2 linked regions of the Mus musculus genome follow. The protein of the gene in region 1 interacts with the protein of each later gene in a biochemical or structural test. Links are inferred from orthologs where the notes say so. Each region holds a gene or a part of one and is shown on either strand. Other genes may lie near its edges. The genes, in order: Atf4 and Crebzf.

Region 1 (4,385 bases):
TGTTGGGATAATTGGTTGTTAGCACCCTAACAGAAGAGTGGGGGGACTCCAGGCTGCCTGCAGGGTAGATACATGTGATAGAAAACAGCTGCTAGGATAATTGGCTGTTAGAAAGGAGGCCAGAAAAAGAAGTGCAAGCTTACACCACGTGGAAGGTTTCTGGGGAGGCACGTTTTTGTATAGCAAAAGGCAGTCATGTATCACAGGTTCAGGAGTTTAGCAAAGCAAGGGGTGGGCATACATCATAGAGTTAGGAACTCAGCATAGGTTAAAAACCATGGTTTGCAGGGTACATTATGCTTAGGGGACAGAAACTTGTAAGGGATGTCCACTTAATGTAGCAGTGTGGCTGCTGTTTTGGTTTCCAGAGCAAAGAGAGGACATAGTTACCCTTTTGTTGCTTTTGCATGGAAAGACTAGGTAACTTCTGTATGTGTGCACATGCACTTGTGACTTCTTTGGGTATAAAAACATCTCATTATGTAGGCCTCGTGTTTTATGGTTGGTTCCGTCTCAGTAAACAATAATAAAGGCTCCTCTGAGGAAGGAGGATGGAGTTAGGGATATAGGGACTGGAGAGTTAGGTTCGAATTAATAAATAGCAATCAATCATATAATCAAGGACGACCTTGAACTATGGTACCCGAGCGCTAGGGTTGGGTTGTACAAGGCTTGCAAATAATCACTGAGCAGTAAGTGGCAGGCACTGTGCCAGTTGAGTGGTATTTGTGTGAGTCACTTAAACAGAAGTGGAAACTCTTTTTAAGATTTCCAGGCTGGAGTTGGAAAGAGCCTCTCAGCACTCTCAAAACAGCATCCTTTATGGTGAGGCCTTGACCAGTACCTGGGGCTCCCGATCACTTAGGCGGCAGGCTCACTCATCAGGATGACTTCTTGGGAAGGTGATACCTGGAAGTTAAGGCTTGAGAGCCAACTGAATAAACCTGATCTTAAGGGAACTGACCCTATACAAACCGGCAGTGAGGGCCTCTATGATGGGAGGATGGGCATAGGAGGTTAGACCTGAGGTTAGGCATGTTTCCCCGGTTCAGGGGAAATCGCTGAACTGGAGGAACCGGAATATCTCCCAAGAAGACCCCAACACGAACGCCCTGCCTCCAAGTGCCGTCCCTGTCCCAGGACTGACAGGAAGCTGAAGGTTTGGACCAGCTAACTCAGAAGGGTCTCTCCACATGCCTGAAGCCTGCCCACTCGGTTCTGGAAACAACAAATACATGAAAAGATGGCTTCCAGCCCAAAGGTCACGCCTGGAAGCTGTTTGCTCGGTGCGGAGCGATGCCGGAGAGAGCAAATACACATGGATCACATCTGACAAGAGATGGCAGGTGTGACAGTCTGGCGCCCGGAACCTCTGGTGGCTCCTCCCTTTCCACGCAGACCCCTGATCCTAGAGCGCCCAGGTGCAGAGCCAATAGGAACTTGAGGTTTAGGTGACTCGCCACGCCTGGGCCAATCAGCTCGACGCGCGCTCCGACGGCGTCTCGCGTGATAACCTGGCAGCTTCGGCTTTGACCGTCAGAGCTTTGGCTAGGTGTCCCACCCCGCCTTGTAAGACACCGGAAATTCGTCAACGAGCGATCCCTCCGCGCTCCGGAACCAGACCGCGGCTGGTCGTCAACCTATAAAGTAGTGCACTTTTCTCTCATGGGGCCTTTAGGACGATCTCTAACGCCACAGTTACCCCCCGAGCACAGCGGAGAAGGGTTGGGGCGGGCGAGGGCGTCAGTGAGAGGCGGTTTGGTGGCGCTGCGGTAGGATCACGTGACCACAGTGGGAGGATACGCGGTGTGCTGCGTCCCTGGCCGAGGCTATAAAGGGCGGGTTTAGGGCGTGCCGCCGCCATTTCTGCTTGCTGTCTGCCGGTTTAAGTTGTGTGCTCGGGTGTCCCTTTCCTCTTCCCCTCCCGCAGGGCTTGCGGCCACCATGGCGTATTAGAGGCAGCAGTGCCTGCGGCAGCGTTGGCCTTTGCAGCGGCGGCAGCAGCACCAGGCTCTGCAGCGGCAACCCCCACCGGCCTAAGCCATGGCGTGAGTATGGGGCCGGCCGCGGAGGGCGGGGGCCTCGCTGTGGTTGGGTGCGGCCCGGGCGCGGTGGCCGGCACACGCGGTTTTACAAGCGGCCGGACGCGTCGGCCTTGTTTGCGTTGCCTGCGACGCCGGCGCTCCCGGGCAGAGCTGGGCGGAGGAGTGTCTAAAGCGCTACTGCTGCCCCTTCGTCCTGTCTTAGCTTAATCATCTCGGGCTCACCGGGGTCCCCGTGTCATCCTGCGAACGTGGCGATGCCCAAGATGGCGGTGGGGCGGGGGTGTGAGTCACGGGGGCGGGGCGCGGCGGCCTTGGCCGTATTAGGACGCGAGGACAAGCTGCTTCCTCTGGGTGGCCGGTGAAGCAAAGCTAAGCCTCCATCTTGTGCAACCCGAGCTGGCGGCCGGGGAGGCTTACACAATGGCCTTGGGCCCGCGTGCTCTCCCTGTAGACGCTTCTGGGATTTGGCCATCCGGCATCTTAGATAGAAAGATGACTGGACTTGCTTTTGGGTCCCCATCCAGGCTCTTCACGAAATCCAGCAGCAGTGTTGCTGTAACGGACAAAGATACCTTCGAGTTAAGCACATTCCTCGAATCCAGCAAAGCCCCACAACATGACCGAGATGAGCTTCCTGAACAGCGAAGTGTTGGCGGGGGACTTGATGTCCCCCTTCGACCAGTCGGGTTTGGGGGCTGAAGAAAGCCTAGGTCTCTTAGATGACTATCTGGAGGTGGCCAAGCACTTGAAACCTCATGGGTTCTCCAGCGACAAGGCGGGCTCCTCGGAATGGCCGGCTATGGATGATGGCTTGGCCAGTGCCTCAGACACCGGCAAGGGTGAGTAGGACGGCTGTCCTGGTGTGCCCTTTTCATATGGATCTGGTGTTCTAATGGCTTTCTGCCTCCCGAATATGACATGAACCGTTCACACCTGAATTTCTTTTCCCAGAGGATGCCTTTTCCGGGACAGATTGGATGTTGGAGAAAATGGATCTGAAAGAGTTTGACTTCGATGCTCTGTTTCGAATGGATGACCTGGAAACCATGCCAGATGAGCTCTTGACCACGTTGGATGACACATGTGATCTTTTTGCCCCTCTAGTCCAAGAGACTAATAAGGAGCCCCCTCAGACAGTGAACCCAATTGGCCATCTCCCAGAAAGTTTAATAAAAGTCGACCAGGTTGCCCCCTTTACATTCTTGCAGCCTTTCCCCTGTTCCCCAGGGGTTCTGTCTTCCACTCCAGAGCATTCCTTTAGTTTAGAGCTAGGCAGTGAAGTTGATATCTCTGAAGGAGACAGGAAGCCTGACTCTGCTGCTTACATTACTCTAATCCCTCCATGTGTAAAGGAGGAAGACACTCCCTCTGACAATGACAGTGGCATCTGTATGAGCCCAGAGTCCTACCTGGGCTCTCCCCAGCATAGCCCCTCCACCTCCAGGGCCCCACCAGACAATCTGCCTTCTCCAGGTGGTTCCCGTGGGTCTCCTCGGCCCAAACCTTATGACCCACCTGGAGTTAGTTTGACAGCTAAAGTGAAGACTGAGAAATTGGATAAGAAGCTGAAAAAGATGGAGCAAAACAAGACAGCAGCCACTAGGTACCGCCAGAAGAAGCGGGCTGAGCAGGAGGCCCTCACTGGCGAGTGTAAGGAGCTAGAAAAAAAGAATGAGGCTCTGAAAGAGAAGGCAGATTCTCTGGCCAAGGAGATCCAGTATCTGAAAGACCTGATAGAAGAGGTCCGTAAGGCAAGGGGGAAGAAGAGAGTTCCGTAATAGGGTAGTCAGGTGCTTTGTGCTTGTACATAGTCTTGTGTTGCTGTGTTTGCTGTAATAAATTATTTTGTAGTGAAAGTACCTATGTGGGTTTTCAGTGTCATTCTTTGTAATAGACTTAACTGCAGACGTTCCTGGGTTAGATACAATAACTACCTGGGTATATCCCAGGGCTGAGCTGAGCTGTTTGAGACGGTGAAGATGAGGGAGCTCTGGGTTAATGAAAGGAACAGCCTGAATTCCACCTGTTCATACTGGCTTTGTGCCAGATAGCTGCCATGTAAGTACCTAGATGAGGTACCCGCCTTGAGCACACAGAGGATTAGGTTTTTCTCAGGCTTAAGGGATAGAGCTCATATTCCCTCTGACACAGATGGCTGGACTGTTTCCACCTGGTGGAAGGGCTGGGGTGATAGTAAACAGTGGCAGGTACTGTCTACAGAGGTGAAAATGAGCAATGTAGGCAGGAAGCTGGGAAGGGAACCTAGGCTTCCAGCTCCAGGGTCCTGGGCTACCTGCATCTTTACCTCTTAAATCTGGAAACTGTTAAAGCCTGCAGGGT
Region 2 (4,479 bases), on another chromosome or scaffold:
TACAAAGTGAGTTTCAGGACAGCCAGGGCTATACAGAGAAACCTTGTCTTGAAAAACAAAACAAAACAAAACAAAACAAAACAAAACAAAACAAAACAAAACAAGAGTTGCCTTGGTCATGCTGTCCCTTCACAGCAATGGAAACCCTAATTAAGACATTTGTCTTTATGGAAGATGTCATGCATACTTTTACACAGAGTTTCATGGTGGTCAGGTCATATTGCTGCATACTCTCGATTATCAGCAGGAAACTCTTCCACCAAACTGTGCTTTGCTTAAAAATGCCTAAAATTGGGCTGGTGAGATGGCTCAGTGGGTAAGAGCACCCAACTGCTCTTCCGAAGGTCAGGAGTTCAAATCCCAGCAACCACATGGTGGCTCACAACCATCCGTAATGAGATCTGACTCCCTCTTCTGGAGTGTCTGAGGACAGCTACAGTGTACTTACATATAATAAATAATAAATAAATCTAAAAAAATAAAATAAAATAAAATGATTTAAAAAAAATGCCTAAAATTAAGAACTCTGGGATCATACTCTTGAAGTTTGAATCAACACTGGCTACTCAGTGTGTTAAACTGAATTACATTACTTTGTTTGTCCTGGTGGTTGCAGAAGCCCCCCCCCCCCCCCCCCCCCCCCCCCCCCCCCCCCCCCCCCCCCGCACTATTGGCCCAATGTGTAGTGAGGCTTAAAAGAATTCGTTACATCAGTGCTATGTGCATGAACTCATTGAATAAAAAGTGAAGTGTTTTGTTCAAGACTTGGTCTTTTCAAAAAGCTGGTATTTTAAAAACGGAAAAAGCCTAAGTAACTACCATGACTTGACAAAAGAAAAAAAAAGCAGAAAACAAACAGCAAAACAAGAGACCAGTAAACAAACCAACCACCCACTCTTGGCAAAGGAGCTAATTCTGCAAGTGACCCTTATTGCAAAAACAAATGATAAATAAAAATGATGTAATAATGACAATAATAGCAGTAATAGTATTATGAAAGATCATTTTCTGAGACTAAGGACCTCTGAATGTCGCCTGGGGAGTTAGTGTCAGTACGTGACTGCGTTCCCCAGAATTTGGTAACACTTCTGATTTAAAGTCTTTTGTTTTAACGGGGACTATTTCCTTATGCGTGCTGTTTTTTGCTTGCAGTTTAGAGAGAAACAGCAAAAATAAAAGCGTTCACAAAAACAGTTTTTTTTTAATATAGCTACGTCAAATATGTCTAGATGTCATATTGGATCGAGGAGAGTGGTACCGGGTAGTACCGATGAGTGGGGGGGGGGTGGAAACTAGGTTTTATTGTGTTTTGCCTGCTGCTCCTATGACATCACCGCAAAGCCGAAGTTACTGCACCTCGAAAGCACTCGGAATCTCGCGATACTCTGGCTGGAGCGAAGCGCGTTTTTGTGGGCGGGGTGGGCAGAGAGTAACTTCCGGCCAGGCCGCTGTCTGGGTGGCGCGGCCGAGTCCTCCCCCGGGCCTCGCCGCTTCGCGCTTCCACTGCCTTCCCCCCGCCTCGTGCGGGGGGTTGGGCGGCCGCCGGAGGCCACTCGGACCTTGCCCCGCGCCTGCGGTCGGCCCGGCGCCGTGGCTCTGCGCGCTGGGGGCCCGGGGTCGGAGTGGCTGCGGCCTACCCGGGCCCGCCGCTCAGCCCCATGAGGCACAGCCTGACCAAGCTGCTGGCAGCCTCGGGCCGCGACTTCCCGAGCCGCCGCGACAGCCGGGAGCCGCCCGCCACGCGCGCGCCGCCCCGGGAGCCGAGCGGGGCAGCCGCGGGGGCGGAGACCCCGAGGCCCGGATCGCCTGACCGCGAGCAACCTCACGGGGACGGGGACGGGGGCGAGCCGGAGGCCCGGAGCGGGAGCCGCGGCAGCGTGGCCGTGCGCGCGCCCGCGCCCTCGCCCCTGAAGATGGAGGAGGAGGAGGAGGACGCGATCGCCATGGTCCCCAAGGAAGAGCCGGAGGACATGGACTTTCTCTCCGGGCTGGAGCTGGCCGATCTGCTGGACCCTCGGCAACCGGACTGGCACCTGGAGCCCGGGCTCAGCTCGCCCGGGCCCCTGTCCTCGTCCGGCGGAGGCTCGGAGAGCGGCGGCCTGTTGAGGGGGGACGACGACGACGACACCGCGGCCGCCGAGATGCAGCGCTTCTCCGACTTGCTGCAGAGGCTGTTGAACGGCATCGGAGGCTGCAGCAGCGGCGGTGACCGCGGCGGCGGGGAGAAGAGGCGGAGAAAGTCCCCGGGAGCAGGAGGCGGTGGCGCCAACGACGGCAACCAGGCGGCGACCAAGAGTCCCCGGAAGGCGGCGGCGGCCGCTGCCCGTCTTAATCGGCTCAAGAAGAAGGAGTACGTGATGGGGCTGGAGAGTCGGGTCCGGGGACTGGCAGCCGAGAACCAGGAGCTGCGGGCCGAGAATCGGGAGCTGGGCAAGCGCGTGCAAGCACTGCAGGAGGAGAGTCGCTACCTACGGGCCGTCCTGGCCAACGAGACCGGACTAGCTCGCCTGCTGAGCCGACTGAGCGGCGTGGGACTGCGGCTGACCACCTCCCTCTTCAGAGACTCGCCCGCCGGCGACCACGACTACGCCCTGCCGGTGGGGAAGCAGCCGCCGGAGCCGCGGGAAGAGGACGACGCGGCGGGAGGAGTGTGTCTCCATGTGGACAAGGATAAGGTGTCGGTGGAGTTCTGCTCGGCGTGCGCTCGGAAGGCGTCGTCGTCTCTTAAAATGTAGGGTCAAGTAATCTGCTCTTTATCCGCGTTTACCCCTTTCTCCTCCCTTACACCATGTCAAACACCTTAGTGGGACATCGTCACCGGACGCATTTCAGAGGCGGAAAAAAAAGTAATATTAAATCTTTTAAGTGTTTAGCTAAAAGCATGAATGTGACACTGTAACCAACTCCTAATGATAACCTGTGACTATTAAATCTCTCTGACAGTTTCTTTTTTAGGTGATTTCCTTCCTGCCAGGCTCCGTTGTAGGGGTTACAGAGCAGTCGTTCCCGCCTCACAACCTGGTAAGGATCCATCTCTTCCCGTAACGCTCATGCTCGGCTGCTTAGGCTACTTTAATGGGCAGACATCTCAATGTGTGTGTGTGTGTGATATCTTTTTCTGTTTGTTTTTCTTTTTGAAAGGTGGTGGGAGGGGAATCTTAATTTGGGCCTTGTCCACCCTGGAAACAGACTTGTGCTGGTCATTAATGTACTTAAGTTGCTTCTGGTTGAAATAGCTGTTAAATGTGTCCCCTTGTTCAGAGTTGCGTGTACCTAGCTCTTCTGTCCCCAGTGTGGACATGGCCTTGGATGACATCGGTTCCAACTGTACACAGAAACCTGCTAATAGAGATACAGTTTGGAGACAGTCAAACAGGTGAAGTTGAATGGAAGTTCCGAGTTGTACAAGGTGCAAATTGGAATTCCAATTGTAGAGCAACTTTTCAGAGGTTGACAATAAGTATTGAGGCATGCGCAAATGTGGTATTTTTCTGGAGATGACAAGTCTCCTAAAATACTTAATGAATGCCTTATAGTTTTCAGTAGAAAATGCAGAAATACAGTCTATTTAAAGACCCTAATAGTTCACCACTTGAGAAGTTGGAAATTAACATACCCATCAGATTTCTGTGTTTTAATTAGAAGACGATAAATGAAATGTTTCTTTGAGGACCAGCACAGTAATTACTAATCAATGAGTATGAAGAAATTGTTGAAAGTATTTATTTTTGTTGTATTAAAATTTAGGCTAAATTTCTGTATGATTAGATATTGAAGGTTGTGAAATGTGAATGAAAACATGTAAAGTGAGGCTTCACAAAGAATCTTTTCTCCATATTTCTAAAACTTTTGTCCTATTTAAAAATACTTGTTTAAATTAATGAAATGATCGATACTGTTTTTCCAAAGACGGAAAAGTCTTTCCTTAAAATACTGTTTTTTTGTCCACTTGTCTTAAGTGTGTGTTCTGATGCTCTGAAATGCAAGAGACATTAAATTCTTTGTGAAACATCACTGTTTGATAAAGGATATACGTATTTAGCATCCTTGTTTTTCTTTGTGCTAAAGTGGATACAGCTGTTGGGGCAGAAGAGACGGGACCAGCTGCTGGCCACATTTCCTGCTTTATTTTAAAAGGTAGTATAAGAAATAAGGAAACAGAGGTAATATCAGGGCTTCTGCTGTCTTTTATTTTTAAAATGTTCATAATTAAGTATTTTCCAGCAGTCCAAAGATGTAAGTTATCCTACACGTAAGATGTTTTATTTTGTTACTTGGTTATGGAAATGGAATCTTGTTCTTGCACAACTGTAAATGTTTTGTTGCTAGATAATATGATTTTGAGACCTAAATTAGTCTCTGGTTTTTCAGTCTATCACATTTTGTAAAAATCTCTACTGCACTTGAGCATGAATGGGTAGTAGCCAAACTCACAACTTGGAGTGACGGACCTGCTTCTACAAGGGTAGGATACAAGCC

The links.
Region 2: the proteins of Atf4 (region 1) and Crebzf form a complex in vitro, tested with the Homo sapiens proteins (2 studies listed by IntAct, with this or other methods). The link is inferred for Mus musculus from reciprocal best matches to the Homo sapiens genes ATF4 and CREBZF.

The regions. Positions count from the first base shown.
Region 1 is NC_000081.6:80,253,638-80,258,022, forward strand, and holds Atf4 (cyclic AMP-dependent transcription factor ATF-4), read left to right. Parts: upstream 1-1,546; 5' UTR 1,547-2,048; intron 2,049-2,569; 5' UTR 2,570-2,661; coding exon 2,662-2,884; intron 2,885-2,996; coding exon 2,997-3,823; 3' UTR 3,824-3,908; downstream 3,909-4,385. UniProt on the Homo sapiens protein: Transcription factor that binds the cAMP response element (CRE) (consensus: 5'-GTGACGT[AC][AG]-3') and displays two biological functions, as regulator of metabolic and redox processes under normal cellular conditions, and as master transcription factor during integrated stress response (ISR).
Region 2 is NC_000073.6:90,441,357-90,445,835, forward strand, and holds the start of Crebzf (CREB/ATF bZIP transcription factor), read left to right. Parts: upstream 1-1,424; 5' UTR 1,425-1,658; coding exon 1,659-2,735; 3' UTR 2,736-4,479.